4 linked regions of the Arabidopsis thaliana genome follow. The protein of the gene in region 4 purifies or fractionates together with the protein of the main gene of each other region. This does not show direct contact. Each region holds a gene or a part of one and is shown on either strand. Other genes may lie near its edges. The genes, in order: MDHAR, MDAR1, MDAR6 and AT1G56190.

Region 1 (5,061 bases), on a different chromosome or scaffold from region 4:
ATACACACATCATCTTTTCTTTTGATAAAAGCTCTTCCCCTTTGTGGTATTGTTCTTAATTACGATAAATATCTTCAATGATTAAAACCCAATTCATTCCCCTTGTTGCTTCTTTAATCGAACTCATGAGGTGGCTTATATAAATGGTATAATTAATGTGGATTAAAATTGTACCCTTTAATTCATGTAATGTGTCATTTCCGTTTCTTCACGTAATCTCACCGTAATCTCTATATATAAGCACACAAGCAACACAATCGATCATAAACCAAAAAAAACGAGAGAGAGAGATGGGGAAGGGGGGTTGGCTTCTTAACTTTCTGAACCATGCCAAAAATCAAGAAAGTGTGGAGAATCTTGACAAAAACGGTGCCGTAAAGGCCCCAAGCAGTGGGTTTAAGATGCCGTTGCATTACCCAAGATACACAAAGGAGGATTATGAAGAGATGGAAGAGTGGAGATTGGATTTGCTTCTCTCGGAATACGGACTTCTTGCCTTCCATGACAATACTCTCCATGAGAAGCGAGCTTTTGCAATCGACACTTTTATATGGCCTCATCACCCATAATTTCATCTCCTTCATTTATCTTGTTTATATTTCTTAAGAGTAACGGAGATTGTAGAGATACAACATTGGAAGAGATGACAAAAACCGGGATATCAATCTACCGGATATATATGTCACAAAAAGATTTTAGTATATTTTTAGTAATTTGATTTCTACTATATTCTTTAGTTTTCATTAGATCTCTTTATGTTATGTTATCTATATAAGTTTGGCTTTGGATTTTGCATATATTAACCTTTCCGTTCAATAAAATATAGTTTTACCGCTTCTTATGGTATCAAAGCCTTCATCCAAAACTTACTCAAATGAGATTGACTCTCATGTTAAAACAGAGAAAAACAGAGAAAAAACAAAAGATCATTAAAGTCACTATATAAACATCATGATTCATCTCCATCTCCACCCTTAATTTCTTTACTAGTCCGTTCGTTCTCGCCACTATTGTTGTCCGTGATTGTACTTCTTCATAAGCATCACTGAGGAAGCAAATTCTAAAACAATAGTATCTTTTAACAATCATAAAGTAAAACAGTTTTTTTTTTTTTGTTCTTATATATATACTACTTATTACACATTTAAACTTTGGTTTTGAACAGTGAAAATGTTGCTTGCAATTTTTTTAACTTTGTAGAAATCAGGCAAGTTCTTAAGTTGACAAATGACATATACTAGTAATTTTCACGAACGTTATCCCACTAAAGTAGTCATACCCAAAACAAAATTGTTTAAATAAAAGTAACTTAATTATATCATTGAGATTCGAGTGAATAATGCCAATGAAATTTAATATTCATTATCTGACACTCTGAAACTATGATTAACTACATAATTATTTAATTTAACGTTTGTACCAGCTAATAGTATACACGTTTTTATGACAAACATTTTTGAATTTTTTGAGTTAAAAAATAATAATGGTTTTCGTCGTAATAGGAGAGGACAGACAATTCCAACGTGATATGTACGTTTATCATGTTACTTAGTCAGCAGATCATTTCTTCGGATTATATAATAGCTATTTAGAAACATTAAAGGTGTGGATTATATTATAGTCAAGTCTTTCCAATATGAATATTATATCATCCACCAATACATAATTATTGTCAAATACAAGTTGAGTCAGATTAGTCAAATACAGGCAACCAAGACTCGAGATCCTCATCGTCTCTCCACTTTATATAAACCCCAAGTCAGTACTTCTCATAATATACCAAAAACGAAACTGAGAAAGAAGTTTTATTTATTAATTAATGGCGGAAGAGAAAAGCTACAAGTACGTGATCATTGGAGGTGGTGTAGCCGGCGTAAGTAAATGCATTTTCAATTTTGAACTTTTCTTTTGACAACAACATATCTTTTATCAAGTTTAAATTCGATTGTAACACAACAACAACAACAACAATAACACTAATACAAACCAGTAAATTACATGTTTTGCCCAACATTTTTATCAACTCGCATTGTTCAGTTTTGTAGATGATGAGACTTTTTTTGTTGACTCTGTTTTTTTTTTGTTTTTTTTTTTGGCTTAAGAATCATTGTTCAGTTTGTGTTCATTCTTTGCTTACAAATCATCGCTTATTTCGCATCCGTGCTTTGCTTACGAATTCCTTTCTCTAACTCTCTGTTATTTTACTCTCACTTTTACATGTAAATCCCTTTATGCTTATTAAGTTATTATACACAAGAAATTGTTTATGATTTTCTTCTATTAAATGTTATTCATGTAACGAATACGCATCTCTCTGAATTGACTTTTTTTTTTTTTTTTTTTTGGGCATTTCGGAATCACAGGGTTACGCGGCGAGAGAGTTTAGTAATCAGGGCCTGAAGCCTGGTGAACTCGCAATCATTTCCAAGGAACCAGTACGTTTTTTCACTCTTATGACTTATGAGCGTTTGCATGTTACAATTTGGTGTTTTGCTTTTCCAAATAATAATACCACTACTTTTTTTGTTTGCAAACGTCAATTGAAAACACAAATACAAGCGCAAACTCTGGTTGCATTTGCATTTGCGTCTCAAGTTTATGAAAACTATTTTTAGAAAGTCGAAATAATTAAAGCCATCCTTAATATTTGATTGTCTAGTCTGAAAATTGATGTTGAAGTCCATAACCATGTTTTTTTTGTGTGTGTGTCAATAGGTGCCTCCTTTTGAGCGTCCTGAACTAACCAAGGTATATATTGACCTCGAAGGTAAACCTTTTAACTCTAAAACATCTCTGTCAATGGATATATTTTAATTGCTATCGGATTTTGGTTAACTTTGATCATCATTACAGTCAATCCGACCCTTGCAAATATCTATGTTTGTGCTGGAACTGGAGAAGCGAAGCAGTACCCTAACTGGTACAAAGAGAAAGGTAATGTTTTGTTTATGTCTTCTCCGAGAAATCTCTGTGATTTCACTTGCAATATATTTGGTGATCTGAGATATTCAAATTTTACAGGGATTGATCTAATTGTGGGCACAGAGATAGTCAAAGCAGATCTTGCTTCAAAGACACTTGTTAGTGATGATGGCAAAATTTACAAGTACCAAACTTTGCTAATTGCAACCGGTTCTACTGTGAGTAAAATACTTATGATCTCTTCCTCTCTCTTTCTGTTCTTTGTTCTTAGTTCATCTCGAGAAACTCTAATATTTTTTGCAGAACATAAGATTGTCAGAAATTGGCGTCCAAGAAGCAGATGTTAAGAATATATTCTACCTAAGAGAAATCGAGGATAGTGATGAGCTTGCCTTGGCTATGGAACTATATGTGCAAAGGGGAAAGGCCGTCATCATTGGCGGCGGTTTCTTAGGGCTTGAGATAAGTTCTGCTCTAAGGGCTAATAATCATGAAGTGACCATGGTTTTTCCAGAACCTTGGCTTGGTAAGTTGATACTTAACAAAAAACATTTTAGCTAAATAATTACACTGTATTCGTAACAGATTTTCCTCTGTTTTATCGTTGTATAGTACACCGGTTTTTCACCGCTGAGATAGCTTCATTCTATGAGAGTTACTATGCCAACAAGGGAATCAAAATCATCAAGGGAACTGTAGCAACTGGATTTAGCACCAACTCAGATGGAGAGGTCACTGAGGTGAAACTAGAGGATGGAAGAACCCTAGAAGCTAACATAGTTGTCGCTGGTGTCGGTGCTAGACCGGCCACCTCACTCTTCAAAGGCCAACTTGAAGAGGAGAAGGGTGGAATAAAGGTTTATGATTTACCCTACCGGCGAAAAACAGAGCTCTTGTCAATTACCATAATTAGTGATTAATGATTATTCGTTTTGATTGTAGACTGATGGGTTCTTCAAAACAAGTGTGCCTGATGTATACGCACTTGGAGATGTAGCCACATTCCCAATGAAAATGTATGGCGGGACGAGGCGTGTTGAACACGCCGACAATGCTCGCAAATCTGCTGCACAAGCAGTCAAAGTACGAGCATTTACTAGCTTGATTCTATAGTCGAATATACCAAACTCTTCTATATATACTAATGATGGTGTTTTGCAGGCAATCAAAGCGGGTGAAGAAGGGAAAACGATCCCAGATTACGATTATCTTCCCTATTTCTACTCTCGATTTTTCAAACTATCGTGGGAATTCTATGGGGAAAACGTTGGAGAATCTGTACTGTTTGGAGATAATGACCCGAAATCTCCAAAGCCAAAGTTTGGGACGTATTGGGTTAAAGATGGGAAAGTAGTAGGAGTGTTCCTAGAAGGAGGTACTCAAGAGGAACACAAGGCTATTGCTAAAGTGGCACGAGCACAACCTTCCGTTGAGAGTCTTGACGTGTTATCCGAGGAAGGCCTTTCTTTCGCCACCAAGTTCTATAGCACCTCTCTTTGAGACATTGGGTCTTGTTTAGTCACATTGATGTAATAATCTCCTTTGTCTTTGATTTCATATCGAGCCCCTATTGTATTTCGAAAAATAAATTAAATATAATAATGCATTTTGTTTGGATTATCAAAACATTGGATTTTAAGTTCTTTCATTCGTCATGATAGACATTCAGTTTTGGATGCACATGAACACATGGCATTGGTCATGCTTTTGATGACACTTTGAGTCAGACCAAAATTGTCACATTTTAAAAAAAAAGTCAAAACACAACTGAAACTTTAAATTTTTTGAGAATCAACTATCAATTACACACATAATTCAACGTCAATTTAATTCATAAGTAATATAACACATGTACTACCAAATCACACCCAATATTCGCTAACTTTTTTTTTTAACAACAGAATCGTGCTTCTCACGAGATGCCTTCTCGAATTATCCCATGTCACGGAAGTTGATATCATCTCAATCTTCGAAACCCTAATCTCCTGCTTTATCAAAACCCAGGAAATGCTTATCTCTCTCCAAGCCCCACCAATCTCAAACCCTCGGCAAGATCTCCACTTTCAACCCTTCCTCTGCCCACACCCTAGCCACGTAGATATTCGTCACTGTCGGGTAAAAAATCGCCAACGCTTCGAT
Region 2 (5,624 bases), on a different chromosome or scaffold from region 4:
AGTTATACTATTTAAAACTAAACCAAAAGAATTACTAACAAAATCGAACAAAGAAAATAACTTAAATGCAGTTCAATTTTTGCTAAGTTTTTGTTCAATCTTTAACCAACAAAAAGAGAAAATCCAAAAAGCGAATCTGACGCTCATAGTATTTCATCTTTTCATTCACATTAATCAATATTTGCTTTCACAATCCCACATTATAAATAACATTATTCCTAACTAATATATTTAGAATGAGTAGATTTAACTGAATTCCACTCTACGACTGGAAATAAATTTGATTATCACTAGCAAAAGGGACTAATATCATGTTAAATTTATGAATTTCTAACTCAAAATTTTCAAGTTTTCTTCGGTTTGTGTATATATCAAAACTAATTCTAAGAAAACCTAGTCGAGCCGAGGACATGGAACAATGAGAGATGTCCAATTAAAGATCGAATTGACATTTCAAGGGTCGTCCAATGCCCATTAGAGTCTACGAATTACTATTTCAAGGCCCATTTGCTTTCATATTGTAAATTACTCCCTTCATTTGAGATTACAGTAAATGTGGTTTTGGAGTTGTTCACATTAAGAAACCAAGACAGATACTGAAACACAGAAAACCAAACACATGATCTAAAATGTGAATGTGGTTCAGGGTTTCCTCTGCCGTAGACTCTTCTCATGGAGTTTAGAGAGACAATACAAACACACAACTTATTATAGCTAAACAAGTTTTTATTTTAACATAGAAGAGAAAACGTGAGTTTGTTTTGGTGGTTGTGTTTCACTCAGATCTTAGCTGCGAAGGAAATTCCTTGTTTCACGAGCTCGTCGAGACTCTCTGCAGAAGGTCGAGCTTTGGCGACTTTAGCCAAGGCTTTGTTCTCATCACCACTACCTCCCTCCATGAATGCTCCAACCACTTTACCACCTTGAACCCAATATGCTCCAAATCTTGGTTTTGGGTTTGATGGATTGCTGTCTCCAAATAACACAGAGTCTCCTACGTTGTCTCCGTAGAACTGCCATGAGAGATCAAAGGAGCGAGAGTAGAAGAATGGAAGATAGTCGTATTCCTCCACCGCTGCGCCTCCCTCAGCCGCTTTGATCGCCTGCCACAATGTATCACATATATAAACGCTTCATCAGATATATACAACTGTATGTTAATCTATAAGATTTAGGCCTCAAGAGTTTGCGTTGCATTTTTTATGGTATGGATTAATAGGGTTTTGGTGTAGCGATATCAGCCATATTGTAAGCATTATTTACCTTAACAGCTTGCTCTGCTGATTTGCGGGAATGGTCAACATGCTCGACCCTTCTCACGTCTCCGTACATTTTCAAAGGGAAAGTAGCAACGTCACCAACAGCGTAAACATCTGGAACACTTGTTTTGAAGAATGCATCGGTCTGTGTGAAACAGTTAAGCAGTCAATTTAAAAGATCCAAATCAGAATGGTACGGGATAAGAAGAAGAAGAGACGCACAGGCAGCAGATAAATACCTTAATTCCACCTTTATCTTCCTCGACCTGTCCCTTGAATAAGGATGTCAATGGTTTTGCACCAACCCCAACTATCACAATGTCGGCTTCCAATGTCCTCCCATCCTTGAGTTGTACTTCCTTCACCTGGAGGATTATATAATACAAGTAAGACATTTGCAACGAGACCATTTGGAAAAGCTAATTAATCGAGTTCGTCAAACGAAACCAAACCTAAACATAACATTGTAATTTGGTTTTAGACTTTAGTTTCTATAAAATCAAACCAAAACTTAAATTGGATTGCCCACTCTATTAGCTAATGTTTCTTTGATTACCTCTCCATTTGGCTGAGCTGTGAACCCAGATGCCACTGTTCCTTTAATGATCTTCACTCCCTTGTTTGTATAGTAAGTCTCATAGAAAGCAGCAATATCGGCGGTGAAAAGCCTAGGCACTGCGTCAACATTTTGTTTTCATTACGTGTAACAATGTCATATATTACATGAATAGCAAAAGGATACTAGTCAACTTACTGCACCAAGGTTCAGGGAAAACCATAGTGACATCTAAATTGTTGATCCTTAAAACTGCACTAAGCTCAAGACCAATGTAACCTCCGCCAACAACTACAGCCTTTCCACCTTTCTTAGCTTTAATTGCTTCAACCAATTTGTCGGCATCATCAATCTCTCTCAGATAGAGGATATTCTTAGAGTCTGCACCTTTTACTCCAAAATCAGTCAATCTGAGAACCTGCAAAGGAAGGTAAAGAGTTACTTTCTTCTTGTAATAGAATTCATAAGAAGCATTCTGATGTGAGAAATGCAAGTATATCAGTCTTTACAGTAGAACCAGTTGCAATTATGAGCGTCTGATACTTGAAGACATCCCCAGTTGCACTGACAAGACTCTTGGCAGAGAGATCAGCTTTCACTATTTCTGTGCTTAGTATCAACTCAATTCCTACAAACACAATGGATAACAAAAAAATCATAGCACGATTTAGTTCCAATAACATAAGTAATTAAGCTTGTATAGAGAGTAATGTAATGTTATAATAGATCAGTGGGACTACACAGATGAGCAGGGCATTGATATTGGTGATGTTGCAGACAGTTCATTACCTTTCTGCTTGTAGGATTCAGGAAGCAGTTTTTCTCCACCACTACCAACACAGCAATGGAAACCTGGAAGTCTAGCAGCCCCTGCAACAAAAAAAGATTATCATAAAAAGCATAAACCAAAGCCAAGTTTCAGCAAATCAAAATTAAACGTTGTAGTTAGCAAAGTAAAGTAGAAAATTGTCTTACCTTCAGGAAACAAATACCCCTTGCTAAGTGCAGGGCGTTCATATGGAGCCACCTAAGCCACCATATAGAGTAAATAAGGTGTGAGGATTAGAGAAGACAAGTCCACATAAGGATCATCATATCATAGGTTACAAGACACACTGCATAATCACAGTTTTCCAAATCGAGAGGAAGCTTACCGCCTCTTTCGAGATAACAGCCAATTCTCCTGGTTGAACCCCTTGATTGGCAAACTCCTTAGCTGCGTATCCCTACACACAAAAATGGAGAAAAGGATACAACAAAGGTTAAGAGTTGAATTTGCTTCTGTATTTAGTTATTTCTTTGGAATTTTCTTCATTAACATCTGTGACTATACGATTAATCTGAGCTAGTATAAACTAAAGAGGATCCTGATGATACTATGCTTACTATTAACCATCTGCAAGTGATTTTGCAGAGATACACTTTTCTCACACTTAACAACAACAAAAGAACTAGAACTGAATCGGAAGTTTTTAAGATGCTCTGTGCAGAGGAAACCAGATTACATCCATGTTTTACGTCGAAAAAACAATCAATCAACATACGATTGTTTGATTCAAAATCAAGTTTCGATTGTAAATTCATCTCAACGATACTAGAAACTAGAAGCAGAGCCGCCGATCTGACGTTTAAATCTATGAATCACAATCTATAATCATCGTAATCGCTATCTGATTAACAATAACAAACTCCAAGCCAAAAAAACTACGAGAATTGTGGCATTTCGCAACACAAATCGAATCAAGCTCTTCGAAAATCGAAAGCAATGGCTGAAAAAACTTAAGGAGGAAGGAAGATACTCACGGCAGAGACGCCGCCGCCGAGGATGATGTACTTAAAGCTCTTCTCCGCCATTTTATCCGATCGTGTGAAAGCGTTTTGTTATCTTGTCGCTGAAGTTGGTTTGTTAGAGAAGCAAAGAAAGAGCAAAAAGGCTAATATGAGCTGAGTGACTCTAATTGGCTAAAACTTAACCAAGACTTGGCCGTTGATTGGAGGATGTAGATACAAAGCTTACACGTGGCAATATTGTGACCGTTGAATTTATCCAACCGTCGTGGTTCATGCTATATGTGGAAAGTAAAAAGAATTAAGGACGGAAATAAAGGACTGATTGATTCTTAAGTCTTTTTTAATTAACCCGAAAAATAGTTGGTGGAAAAGTCACAAATGTGCCACGTTATTGGATAAGTTGTGGAAAAGTCCACAAATGATGGGTTTTAGATTATTGGGCTTCTTTTCCTGACCTCTTAAGGCCCAAAATAACAAAATTCAAGAAACATGAAGCTTAGTCCTTCGACCCACATGATAACCCATTTGACCATCACATGATTAACAATTCGACTAAAACAACCATAAATTTTGATTTATCAGCAATTATATTTGTAAATAGGTTTATTACTACAATCTGTACGTAATAAGTATCAATCTTTGAAGGAACTAAAATTTACACATTCCCATCCAAGACTATAGGCAGTCACAATAACCCATTTGGATGAATGCTCATTTTTATTTTTAATTGTTCAAATTTCAAAATACTGTGTATAGCTAAAAAATCGAATTAATAAGTGAAGGAGAAAAAATTGGTGGAGTGGATTAGATGCATACAATGACAAAAAAGCCAAGCAAGCCTTTTATGGGGGTGTGGCCTGTCGACACAAACATGTGAAACCTATACTTGTTGCCTTATTCTCTAGCTTGTTCTCTTTCTTTTTATTTTTTTCTTTTACCAAATCTAATTTGATTACCCTATATATCTCATCTTCCTCGGATTCTCATTTCTCAGATCTTAGTTCTTATTGATATTGTTTTGTTTAATAGTAGTTATCAAGAATATACATAACTCGAATCATTTGTCGTTGTGCACCGTTGTTTCTTGTTCGCCGTCCACGCAATAATTATAAACATCCATACCTAAATTTTATATATACACATCATGAAATATTGCGACAAAGACATTTAATCTAGTGGCTCATAGTATTAGTGCAGTCATTGCATCATAACTTGGTATAAATGTTTGAGATACAAAAATAAGTATATATATATATATATAATAGAGTTTAATCCGCGGTACACCGCGAAAATAATTTATTTTTTAAATTAATATATATAAAAGTATGGGTACTTTTTGTATTTTGTACACTATTAATGAAAATTCACATTTTAAAAAATAAAATTGAATGATGGTTCAAATTGATCTTAAACGAAAAAATCTGGGTTCCATCAATCGTTTTTCTTGAAAAGATGCAAAATATTTTTAAAAATCGAATAAAATAATTAGCAGGACCATTGATATATTTAAATATGCGCATGCATATGTTTGTATAATAAAATCTTTTGATGTTGATGGTTGGTTTAAGTTAAATAAGAAATCAGAAGCGGACGTAACACATCTAATTTTTGTGTTAGTTTAGTGTTTACAATATATTTAATGGGGATTAAAAGCATGAGGGAAGAGATTAAAGGCGCAGAAAGAGGAATCCTAGGCTCAAAGGGTTCTCAAAGACCTATCAAGTCTCTATTATTTCCTAACACCACGTTCCAACTGTATGATTTAGGCTTTTTTGCCAGATTCAAAAGTACTTTGTTGTTATTAATCTCGATCATGTATCATTAAGTTATGTTTCTTGATCTTATGGTTACGGTTGTATATTATTTGATTTTTCCTATGCATTTTCCATTAGACTCTATTTGATTTTTCCTATGCATCTTCTATTAGATTCTAGTTCATTCTTTCTTATTTTTTTAATTCATTTGTCTTGGGTGGCTAATGAAGCAATAATGGTTTTTAGTTTTTATTTGAGATATTT
Region 3 (6,243 bases), 2.7 Mb from region 4:
AATTGTTTCTAACTTTTTTTTTATTAGTCATATACCAATTTCAAATTTGTTATTAGTGAAAGAGTCATTCAATGCCTTTTTCTGTTATTGGATTTGGCATCAATTGTTTTTTTTAGTTTTACCAACATTACACGTTTGTTTGCATTTTGCAATATTTCACCCATTAAAAACCGAGGGTGTTGTTTTTGCAAAACAATGGTCTCTTGTGTTAATCCAAGAATGATGTCATATTAAAATATAGATCGAGTTAGAGAAGAGTTTATAACAGTTTTGACATCTTGGCCGAATGATTTCCCCTATCAATGATGAACCTTGGCTATCATAGATATTTACCAACCACAAGGTTCTGCAGAATCACGATTTTTTTAGTTTGTTATTCCCACCATTCCGCAAATTTATACGATTTTGCAACATTCATAACCAATCATAAAAGCCCAACCTATCATAGATTCATAACCACTTTGACACTTTCTCAATTGTAGAACTCATAGGCAGTAAATAAATTTCTATGGCGTATGAAACGCGTTTAGGCTACAAAAACCTTTTTACATGTCGCAATCAATCCCACAAGACTCTATTACGTGCCGCAAAACAAATCCTTGCGTGAATTATAACAAAGTCTTCATTATTGTTTATACAAATTTCGTTTATGGTTTACAGTCGATAAAAGAAATCTAAATAAATAAATATTTTAATGATCCACGAAACAACCCATAGATCATGAGAAAACGATCTTTATCTATCTCAGTGACTAACATAGATTTTATTAGAAACAAAGCTCTCTAATGAGCAAAATATGATTATCCCAAAAAGAGGTTATAAATTATTCGAGGAGATTATTGACAACAGTGCTCTCTATAGATCATTTTTCCAATGGAAAGATGAATAACTCTCACCGGGAATAAAAGATGTTGATTTCTCTGAACCCAAAAGCTATTAAAAAAACTCCATGAAGTTTCCTTCTCTAACTCTGTAGAGCGGCTTGAGCAATCTCGAGAGCTTCTTCGACTGAAGATGCGCTTGCGAGTTTAGCCTTATCGACAAGTGGTTGGCTTCTTGCTAGCTTTGGTAGAAGCTGGAACTCCTGTTTCAAGAGATATACATAACAATGGAAGCAATTAAAATCCATATAGTTAACATATTTACATGAAAACAAAACCCATGCTGATGTAATTGCTATTGTCAAGTTTCAATGACCGTTCCAAAATATTCTAATTTTAGTCTCGCAGATCTAAAGAAGCATGATGCTCTAAAGATTGGCTAATTCAGAATGTTAACGAGGGAGATGCTAAGAAAGACTCTTACCTCAGGCGATCCGCTTTCTACTAGAACACCTTTCAACCTGCCTGTGTTACGATAATTACTCATCAAAGTTAGTTAATTTGCTAAGCTGTGTATTTGTGCAAGGTTAACTGAAGTGAGAAAAGGCTGAAGGAATTATTTACCAGATTCAATCCAGAAGGTAGCGATTTTCGGGTCAAAGTTCCCAACCTCCACTGTTTCTCCCACTGGCCAGTATGAATCAGTGGTTTAGCTACAGTGGAAATATTGTTTGAGTAATTGGATGGCGTCATATTTAGGTCAAATAGATTTACCATTATCTCCGAAAAACTGCCACCACACTTTTCTTGGGCTTCCTTCATACTCGAATACTCTTGAGTAGAAATATGGAAGATAATCGTACCTGCAAATATTGAGCAAGACAAGAACTAATAGGTGAATATCCGTTAAGGGATACAGGCAAAGTCTACAGATCTTTCCAGGGAAGAAGCTTACGTGTCAGTGTGTGCCGTGAGTAGTGATTTCACACAGTGTTGTGCAGAGCGGCGGGCGTGATCAACATGTTCAACTCGAGTCATCCTATCATATATCTGGTCATCAGACAATAAGATGATGAGTTTGCACTTCACGAGATAATTGATGGCTTAACATATATTATCTAGCAGCAAAGTACCTTCAAAGGGAAGGCTGCGACATCTCCAATAGCAAAAATTCCAGGGGTACTTGTCCTGAACAAGCCATCGACCTGTGGTTGAAGATGAGCTCTTATCAAACTTTTAATTGTATCAACATACTGATGTAGTTTCTTGTGAAGTTCTAACTCTGAAAACCGATTATCTTGGAAAATAAATCCGGATGTTTTGTAATAATAATACCTGAATTCCTCCAATTGATTTGTTCATGGCCAAAGTTTCAAAGGGGCCAATAGCAGGCTTAGCTCCAATTCCAATTACAACCTGTAAAGTAAGGATACACAGGTCGTACAAAAGTCAGTATTACATTGACCCTTCACAGTTTTCATTTGATCAAAGTTGTTGAATTTGCATCATTTGAGAAAGAAAAAAGTGAAGCTGAGCTACAACTATACCGTGTCTGCCTCAATTGTAGACCCATCAGCAAGCTTAACAGCTGATACACGCCCATCCGAACCTGCTTCCAAGTTATTTATGGAAGCGCCCTGTTCAACAGAAAGAGAAATTCAAGTTTGCACACTGTGTTTCTGAAATTCTTAGGTTTGCAGGAAAGCAAAGGCTTCAGTATAAGGTGTTGATCGTGTGCTGATATCTTACCTTGACAAACTTAACACCATTTTGACGGTACAGTTCTTCATATTTCTGAGCAAGCGATGGAGTGAACAATCTTTGCAAAAGCTGATCTTCAGGGAATACAATCTATTGTTCCACATGGGAAAGCCCAAAAGCAACTGTAAGTTAGTACATCTGTTCCACAATTTATCTGAACGTTTCTAGGAATTTGTTTAACTCATCGAATGATTAGAAGTATTCTTCATTTCTAGCACAATTTAAAAATTCAAGTGAAAGGGATAATAACCGTTGTATCTAGATTCCACGCAACAGCTGCAGCAGCAACCTCCATGCCGATGTAGCCACCACCAACAATGACAATTTTCTTTGCCTTTCCCTGTATCACATATTGGAAGGTTATTTTGTAGCCAGGAAATTTGGATTTTTCTGATGACGCATATTACAACATTGCATTAAGATGACAAAACTGGTAACTGGTAAAAATGCCCTTAGCTTACCAGAGATGCTATCAGTGAATCAGCATCTGCAACCTCCCGAATATAGTGAACCCCTGGCAAGTGCCCACCGATTTTATCTGGGAACCTACAATAAAAATCCAGAGCAAATATTCATAATATCAGTATACATGGTTGAAAAGGCCTAGGTTCTCTGATGTTGTTTATCAATCATTGCAAAAAAAATGCGACTTTCACTCACCTTGAGGCTGTACACCCTGTAGCGATAATTAGAGATCCATATTTTAACTGCTTCCCTGCGTCTGTGGTGAGTGTTTGCTTTTCAAAATCAGCTCCAGCCACTGGATCTTCATATATTACCTGTCCAAACAAAATGCATTAGTAAGACACAAGAGAAGACCACAAATTCACCGACGTACATTCCAAGCTGTACAGTTAATCAAACCAAAGACACTTCACTTACATTCATATATTTTAGAAAACAAAACTATGTATCAGAAGATGAATTACCTCAATTCCTTTCTCCTTATACCAATCTGGTGTTTGCCTTTCTCCACCACCTCCAACGCAAGTATGAAATCCCTGCATATACGACCACCCTCAATATAAACAGAGATCACAAAACTAAATCATACAAATCTTCATATCAGTAACAATCGTAACACTGTAAACAATCTACCGGTACTCATTCCATAATGTTCATGTAGCCAATTAAGAGCAATAGCACTAAAAGAACCACTCAAATTGATCGAATCAAAACATTAAAGTTGGCAAAGCTTACTGGTAAACGAGCTGGCTTCTTCTCTGGTGGGAACAAGTAAGCTTTTGTCAAAGCCGGTCTCTCATAAGGTGCGTAAGCCTAACAATAACAACCACAAATCCAACAATCAAACAAAGTAAAACCAATAGTGTTACTGATGAAGAAAACACTAAGGGATCGATTTGAATCACCTCTTTGGTCACAATGCATAGCCGACCATCAGCCATTCCATTTTCCACAAAAGTTCTAGCAGCATAACCAGCAGCATTTCCTCCACCAACAATCACAAACCTAACACAATCACACAATCAATCGCATAGAAATTCATCAACGCCAGAATCAAAATTGGAAGAATTATATATACGAACTCGCGATTCTCGTTAGCGAACGAAGCAGTGACGAGGCTTCTGGAAGCGATTCTAGAACCGATCGGAGAAAAACGAGCGGGAAATCGGCGAGCGAGAGACGGAGAAGACGGACACCAAAGAGATAATCCGGACTTCGTCGGCAACGTGGTTGATGCTAACGCCATGACTCTACGAACTGTAACAACAGATTAGAGAGATAAGATTTCGATCTAGGGTTTTGACAATCGAGGAAGAAGATGGTGGTGAGTGAGAGAGATAAGAAGACCTGCAGACATTAGTTTATAAGAAGAGCCAAATTCAGATTTAATTATTGAAACAAGTGTGTGAGTCTCTCTGTAGTGTTGGCTCTATAACAAAGCTAAAGGGCAATGAGAGTAGTTTGAAATTTGTGAAAAGAGAGATGATTTATTGTAAAAGATGGGTAGTGAAGAATGGAGCTGACTTGTCTTGTTGCTTTTGATTCATTTGTCTTTTGACTCCGAATTTTAATATCTTTATTGACATTTAGGCTTTCAATAGAACTTGCAAGTTAATGGAACTAAACCATTAGCAGATTACACCATTCTATTTTTAGGATGGAAAACAATTCGTCGCGGACGAAGCTTATTTTTAAGTTAAAATGGTAGTTGGTCTGTGGGGATTTTTATTTTATTTTCCTAGGACAACAATCCCTAATGCATAATGTTTTACGATACCATTGTAAGGGAGCTAGAGTTAAGAGGATTTGATTGAAGTTAGTCACTCTAGCCATAATGATTTATGTTATGTCCTTCAAGCAGATTATTTCATGGATTACATAGAGGTTGTTATGCTCTTGTAGTTTAAGAGAGTTTGATGATTTAGATTTGATACAAAAAAATTGTCAACTTTTGCAGATAAAAGATGATTTTAACTTTTAAAATCCTCCATTTGCCTTCTTTGATCTCACATTCTCACTTGTGAAAGCTTCGGAGCCGTAACTAAAGGGTTCCTTCAAAAATTTAAATTGTTTTTGGATATTATGCATTAATTTAACAAAATGAAAAATGAAAAATATAAGGAGAAGGGAAAACATATGACATGGGCCTGTCCAGAGTTCTAAAAGCCCAACCATAAATAGAAAAACAACAATAGACGAAACCAAGAAAATAAAATATCCTATTAGCCCCCAAAGAATTACAAAACTTCGAAATTGATTCCCAATAATTCAAAACTTTTACACAACTGGCGCCGAAACTTTCCCGGCTTGCTCCAACACCTCGAGAATCTCCGCACGACTCCTCACGATCCTATGAAAAACTTCTCTGATCTGTTGCTGTAACGGCACAAGCTCCTCCTCCATTCTCCTGCATATCTCCGCCATCTCCGCCACTTGCACCGCCGCAGATTCAGCAGCATCTTTCTCCGCCGGATAATGAAATCCATCTGCGAATTCCATCAACGAGTGACCTAGCTTCTCCATCCTCGTCATCTCCTCCATCAATCCAGCAGATCCTTTCTTCTCTTTCTTCTTCCACTCATCTCCGATTTTCTCATGGATTCCGATCAAACTCTGAGCCCAATTCAAATGTTTCGGCGGCACTGGTAAATGATTCGCTAATCCTGATCTCTCCTGACACGGAACCGCCGCCGTTAGCACCCACATTACGAAAACCATCACCGTACTCATTATAAACATTGGTTGAGGCAATCCCGCCGCTTCGTTACCACGTGGCGGCGTAAGATTCGCTGTCATTGCGTGGATCTGCTTCGCCGCCGACCAATTTCTCCCAACCGCCCACGACGACGATTTGAGCTGACCAATCGTTGCTCCTCCTTTACTCGCCGCCGATGATCCACCGCTTCGACGACCAAACGACCACGATCTCTCCGTCGTCTTATTCCCTCCGCCGCCGCCACCACCTCCGCCGCTAACATTCTCTTTATCCTCGAGACTCAACGCGACGACGAGATTCGCCAACGCGCGTTTAGCTCTCCTCACGTTACCGTCACCTAACGGACGTTGCTCCAAAGCCGTCACAGCAATCTCAGCTAAACGCTGGTAATGTCTAACGGAATCGATACCGTTAACAACGGCGGTACAAATGTCAAGCGCTTTAATCGACCGGTCTAACATTTCAGGAACTAACCGGTCA
Region 4 (4,819 bases):
TACTTCCAAGGCCTGAGCTTAATCCAACCGCACTCAATGGAGAGACTCTATTTTGGCTTTTGATTCCGCCGAGCGATCCTGAACTATGAATCCGTGGCTTTGCTATATCAAACAAAAAGCTAGGTTTACACTCTTGGTCCAAAAAATGATCGGTAAAAAGTTTCAATCAACACCAAATTTTGATACCTCATCTTTAAAATCCCTAGGGATAAAAAAAAACGTAACCCAGAGCCAGAGCATAAGGAAATATACGGCGAGCTAATAGAGTGAGAAAGAAAGCGTACCGTTGTTGCTATTGAAGGAGAGCGGAGAAGATTGGATAATAGACGCCGCCATAGCCATGGCTAAAGCAGCTTGACGGGAGACGAAGGAGAGAAGAAGGAACAACTTTAGAGATAGATAAATCCATTTCACCTGCGCGTATGTATACTTTTGGCAACTTGCAGCCAATAATGAAACGGCACGTGGGAATATTTACATCCTTTTTCGTTTCGAGTCCTCGTATTTTCTTGAAAATTTATTTTGAGGATGAAACTATTCTCAAGGTTAAAATGATTTCGAGCAGTTGATTGATGTTTTGCTCAAAATAACGAATGTCACTGTATTTGATTTTATTTGAGACAAAAAGAGTCCCTCCTCTCTATGGATTTGATGGTACAACAAAGACTTTGATTTACAACAGAATAAGAAGAAGAAACTCATTTAGGGGGGTCCCTTCAGGTGTAATAAAGAGATGTTGTTAAACAGTGACTGGCGTTGCTTCATCAAGAGCGACGACACCGGGAAGCACTTTGCCTTCCAAGAGCTCCAAACTGGCACCACCACCTGTGGAGATGTGACTCATGACTCCTGCTACTCCCACTTTCTCCACTGCTGCCACCGAGTCTCCTCCTCCTATTATCGTTGTCACTCCCTTTTTGCTTAGCTCTGCTAGTTTATTCGCTACCGCCTGCGCCATTCAACCATGCTACATATTAGTTCCAACAAAGAGTCAACTAACAGTATATAAGAGTCAGAGAATTATATGCACCTCAGTTCCTTTTGCAAACTTTTCAAACTCGAAAACTCCCATTGGTCCATTCCAAATGACTGTCTGCGTGGTATCCAGAGCTTCGTTGAATGTTTTCACCGAGTCTGGACCGATGTCCAATCCCATCCACCCATCAGGAATGGCTGATGCTGGCACAATCTACAACATTCACATTACACTCAGTACCCTCAACACATCCAGTCTTAAAAAACAAAACCATTTTTCAATCTTTCTGTCAACCAAGAATGCCAAGCTTTTAGCAATAGTTATTGGAGACGAACCTTGCTGTTGGCATCAGGAGCGAACTTGTCAGCAATCACAACATCTGTTGGTAACAACAGAGAGACTCCTCTGGCCTTAGCCTTGGCAAGGAGTGTTGTAGCCAATTCAAGCTTGTCTTCTTCAACAAGGGAGGAGCCAACGGAAAGACCTTGCGCCTTGTAGAATGTAAAGATCATTCCACCACCAAGCAGAAGGATGTCACATTTCTCAAGAAGCGATTCGATAACTCCAATCTTAGATGAGACCTTGGAACCTCCCACAATGGCAGCAAATGGTCTCTTTGGGTTTGAAACCGCACCAACAAGGTAGTCCAACTCCTGCGAAATATATAAGATAACCAAATGTGATTCAATTCAAACTCATAACTCAATTCAAGTCAATGGACTCCTCCAAATTGCAGTTGAGAAACCTATTGAACCTTGAGTTTAGACCTCTTACATGGAAAGACAAAGATGAACAAGCAATCAATCAATTATTTCATGATCAAGGATATAGTGGCGGCACTTGTGGTGCTTCTAAATTCCTCAATAATCAATTTAAGAAAGAATCTTGTATCAAAATGTCACCTTTTGCAAAAGGAAACCAGCAACTGATGGCTTCAAGAACTTAGTGACTCCCTCTGTTGAAGCATGGGCTCTGTGAGCAGTCCCGAACGCATCGTTGACATAAAGGTCAGCTAGAGAAGCAAGCTTCTTAGCAAAATCAGGTTCGTTCTTCTCTTCCTCCTTGTAAAACCTCACGTTCTCAAGAAGCAAAACTCCACCTTCAGGAAGGGAAGCCACCAAGGTTTCCACTTCTGGACCAATACAATCATCAGCTTTCACGACCTGCACATTTCACACCCCAAAAACCTCAAGAGATTTCCACAACAAGATGACAGATTCAGATCCGTTGAAAATCAGGGTAGTACCTCAATACCAAGGAGCTCTGATAATCTGGGAACAAGAGGAGCCAAGCTGAACTTTGGAGTGACACCCTTTGGCCTTCCCTGAAAATTAGAGATGAAAATGTAAAGACTTTTGTGTGGATTTGAGTTGATTAGAGAGATGGGTAAACTGTGAACCATACCAAATGAGTGGAGAGGATGACCTTAGCACCATTCTCAATCAAAAACTTGATGGTGGGAATGGCGGCTCTGATTCTAGTGTCGTCAGTGATATTCTGGTTGTCATCGAGAGGTACATTGAGATCAGCTCTAACAAACACCTTCTTCCCCTTCAAATCTACAGAATTCAGATCTCCAACACTCTTCTTCGCCATCGTAATCACTCCCCTGGCGCCCTTTCCGCGCACGGAGTGGACCTTGGACGCCACGTGGACCGAGAAACGAGAGTCAACGACGGCGGAGAAGCCAAGGCGACGTGCGGAGACAGATGTGGAGGGAATGTGTCCAAAGGAGGCGCGGGAGGAGCGTGTAACGGCGGCGCCACCGGTGGATTTGATGATCGAAAGAGCTGCAGTTGCGGCGGTGGAAGCCATGTGAAGTCAACAGATAGTGAGAGTGAAAGTGAGGGAATAAGGAAGAAGTGAGAGGATTGGATGATATTACTAGTTTATGGATTTTGTCTTATCGTTGATGAGAGGTTATCATAATTCTTCGCCTTCCCTCTGCTTACAATCGTTGCCCACATTCACAAAGATCATGTCTTTTGATCGAAAAGTTTACTTCCATATATGGAAAAGACAACTCTAAAAATAAATATAATGAAGTTAAATAACTCATTTGCAATATTTAAATAGCTAAATGGGCTTTACTCGGCCCAATGAATTTCTGTCCTTTCGAATATAAACGTCGTTTATTTTATTTTGGAAATCCCGGCGAGAAGCACCTCTAATGGCTTTATCTCCGTCGTCTCCTCCATGTCTCAGATCTCTTTCGCCTTCTTTTTCTCGCCAAATTGGCTTCCTTGTTCCACGCGTACAGTCTCTAGTCTTTGGTAGCGTCCGGAAGCATGAGTTGCGGAGGCCGAGCGCACTCAGGGAATGGCGGGAGTACGAAGATGCTGTGAAGAGAAAAGATCTCGCCGGGGCTCTTAGATTCCTCAAATCTATTGAAAATGATGAACAGCGTGATTCGGTTGAATCTATTGTCACGGCTAAGTTAAGCGGCTTGGGAGCTCTTGAATTGGAGAGGGATTGGCAAGTTTTAGATGCGTGTTTGAATGCAGATGATATGAGACTTGTTGGAAGTGCGTTTAGGTTTCTTAAGGAGAGAGGTCTTTTGGCCAACTTCGGCAAATTCACCAGTATTGGTACTCTGTTTTCTCTTCTTTGCGCCTTCAAAATCAACTTCTGTTTAGATAGATGTACAAAAGTAATGTTTAGCTATGTGTGCGAGCATTTGAACTGATTAATTTGTATCGTTTCATAAGTTTCTTGCTTCTGTATCACTGTGATGCAGTTTTGGAAGGAACAAGAGAGGTAACACCTACTGTCCTGAAGTCTGCAACTGGCTTGGAAGGTGTGTAGCTCAAATTTCTCTCTTCAGTCATCTTTGATTACTCAGTGTGTGGCGATGGAAACTTATTTTACTGTTTATATTGGTTAGTGACTAAACTTTCACCGAAGAAGTGGGGACTTTCTGGTGGTTCTAGCATTGCTCTGGCTGCTTTGCTGGGTGGAGTCTCCTATCTTCTTTCACAGGAGATTGATGTGCGGCCAAACCTTGCTGTCATTTTGGGTCTAGCTTATTTGGATTCCGTTTTTCTTGGTGGTACCTGCTTAGCCCAAGTATCATGCTACTGGCCTCCACATAAGCGTAGAATCGTAGTTCACGAAGCTGGTCATCTTCTTGTTGGTAAGACATTCGTGATCATTAGTATTTTTATGAAATTTCTTTCTCGTTTTGTGGCTAACGATTGCAGCTTATTTGTCGTGCAGCATACCTCATGGGCTGCCCAATCCGTGGTGTGATATTGGATCCGGTTGTTGCCATGCAAATGGGGGTTCAAGGCCAGGTATTATTTAGATTCACTCTAGTGTTATACTATTCTATTTTGTAGTGCTGTGATTCTATGTTCTTTTAGCTACATATGGAACCGAGTACATAAATGGATTATCATGTGTTTCTCTAGGCTGGAACCCAATTCTGGGATCAAAAGATGGAGAGTGAGATTGCTGAGGGACGACTTAGCGGTAGCTCATTTGATAGGTGATTATTAGTCAAGGTGTTGTTCTCTCCCTCTGAGTTTTCTCTCATTCACAAACCTAATGCTGGTTCAGTTTCTCTTAGGTATAGCATGGTACTATTTGCTGGTATTGCAGCTGAAGCGCTAGTTTATGGTGAGGCTGAGGGTGGAGAGAATGATGAAAATCTGTTCAGGAGCATCTCAGTCCTTCTGGAACCACCGTTATCCGTAGCTCAGGTCAGGACTAATGAAATTCATATATATCTGATTTGACTAGTATAATATGTGCTTCCACTTTTCTTGCACAAGTGTACAGATTGTTAAGCATTGCGAATCTGTGCGTTTGATCATACAGATGTCGAATCAAGCCAGGTGGTCT

What was found.
Region 1: the proteins of AT1G56190 (region 4) and MDHAR fractionate together in Arabidopsis thaliana (co-fractionation; one large-scale study listed by BioGRID). This does not show direct contact.
Region 2: the proteins of AT1G56190 (region 4) and MDAR1 fractionate together in Arabidopsis thaliana (co-fractionation; one large-scale study listed by BioGRID). This does not show direct contact.
Region 3: the proteins of AT1G56190 (region 4) and MDAR6 fractionate together in Arabidopsis thaliana (co-fractionation; one large-scale study listed by BioGRID). This does not show direct contact.

The regions. Positions count from the first base shown.
Region 1 is NC_003074.8:3,055,862-3,060,922, reverse strand, and holds MDHAR (monodehydroascorbate reductase), read left to right. Parts: upstream 1-1,678; 5' UTR 1,679-1,819; coding exon 1,820-1,873; intron 1,874-2,363; coding exon 2,364-2,435; intron 2,436-2,715; coding exon 2,716-2,767; intron 2,768-2,853; coding exon 2,854-2,934; intron 2,935-3,021; coding exon 3,022-3,140; intron 3,141-3,225; coding exon 3,226-3,448; intron 3,449-3,534; coding exon 3,535-3,779; intron 3,780-3,864; coding exon 3,865-4,005; intron 4,006-4,083; coding exon 4,084-4,422; 3' UTR 4,423-4,548; downstream 4,549-5,061. Other genes in the region: AT3G09950 (uncharacterized protein), read left to right, coding at 291-569. UniProt on the Arabidopsis thaliana protein: Catalyzes the conversion of monodehydroascorbate to ascorbate, oxidizing NADH in the process. Required for producing sufficient ascorbate to maintain the interaction between Piriformospora indica and Arabidopsis in a mutualistic state.
Region 2 is NC_003074.8:19,600,698-19,606,321, forward strand, and holds MDAR1 (monodehydroascorbate reductase 1), read right to left. Parts: upstream 3,758-5,624; 5' UTR 3,670-3,757; coding exon 3,619-3,669; intron 3,298-3,618; coding exon 3,202-3,297; intron 3,042-3,201; coding exon 2,970-3,041; intron 2,843-2,969; coding exon 2,791-2,842; intron 2,686-2,790; coding exon 2,605-2,685; intron 2,444-2,604; coding exon 2,325-2,443; intron 2,234-2,324; coding exon 2,014-2,233; intron 1,935-2,013; coding exon 1,816-1,934; intron 1,625-1,815; coding exon 1,499-1,624; intron 1,405-1,498; coding exon 1,264-1,404; intron 1,104-1,263; coding exon 780-1,103; 3' UTR 516-779; downstream 1-515. UniProt on the Arabidopsis thaliana protein: Catalyzes the conversion of monodehydroascorbate to ascorbate, oxidizing NADH in the process.
Region 3 is NC_003070.9:23,728,256-23,734,498, reverse strand, and holds MDAR6 (monodehydroascorbate reductase 6), read right to left. Parts: upstream 4,625-6,243; 5' UTR 4,405-4,624; coding exon 4,395-4,404; exon of another isoform or gene 4,305-4,394; coding exon 4,130-4,304; intron 4,053-4,129; coding exon 3,953-4,052; intron 3,861-3,952; coding exon 3,783-3,860; intron 3,584-3,782; coding exon 3,512-3,583; intron 3,362-3,511; coding exon 3,243-3,361; intron 3,129-3,242; coding exon 3,044-3,128; intron 2,923-3,043; coding exon 2,833-2,922; intron 2,673-2,832; coding exon 2,571-2,672; intron 2,459-2,570; coding exon 2,369-2,458; intron 2,238-2,368; coding exon 2,157-2,237; intron 2,027-2,156; coding exon 1,955-2,026; intron 1,872-1,954; coding exon 1,777-1,871; intron 1,685-1,776; coding exon 1,596-1,684; coding exon of another isoform or gene 1,582-1,595; exon of another isoform or gene 1,509-1,581; coding exon 1,446-1,508; intron 1,347-1,445; coding exon 1,306-1,346; intron 1,085-1,305; coding exon 965-1,084; 3' UTR 525-964; downstream 1-524. Other genes in the region: ROH1 (uncharacterized protein), read right to left, coding at 5,325-6,243. UniProt on the Arabidopsis thaliana protein: Catalyzes the conversion of monodehydroascorbate (MDA) to ascorbate, oxidizing NADH in the process.
Region 4 is NC_003070.9:21,026,375-21,031,193, reverse strand, and holds AT1G56190 (Phosphoglycerate kinase family protein), read right to left. Parts: upstream 3,058-4,819; 5' UTR 2,792-3,057; coding exon 2,381-2,791; intron 2,301-2,380; coding exon 2,223-2,300; intron 2,140-2,222; coding exon 1,879-2,139; intron 1,630-1,878; coding exon 1,312-1,629; intron 1,190-1,311; coding exon 1,031-1,189; intron 950-1,030; coding exon 740-949; 3' UTR 510-739; downstream 1-509. Other genes in the region: EMB1303 (embryo defective 1303), read right to left, coding at 1-102, 285-342; AT1G56180 (ATP-dependent zinc metalloprotease), read left to right, coding at 3,147-3,564, 3,714-3,773, 3,861-4,109, 4,193-4,269, 4,387-4,463, 4,545-4,677, 4,796-4,819.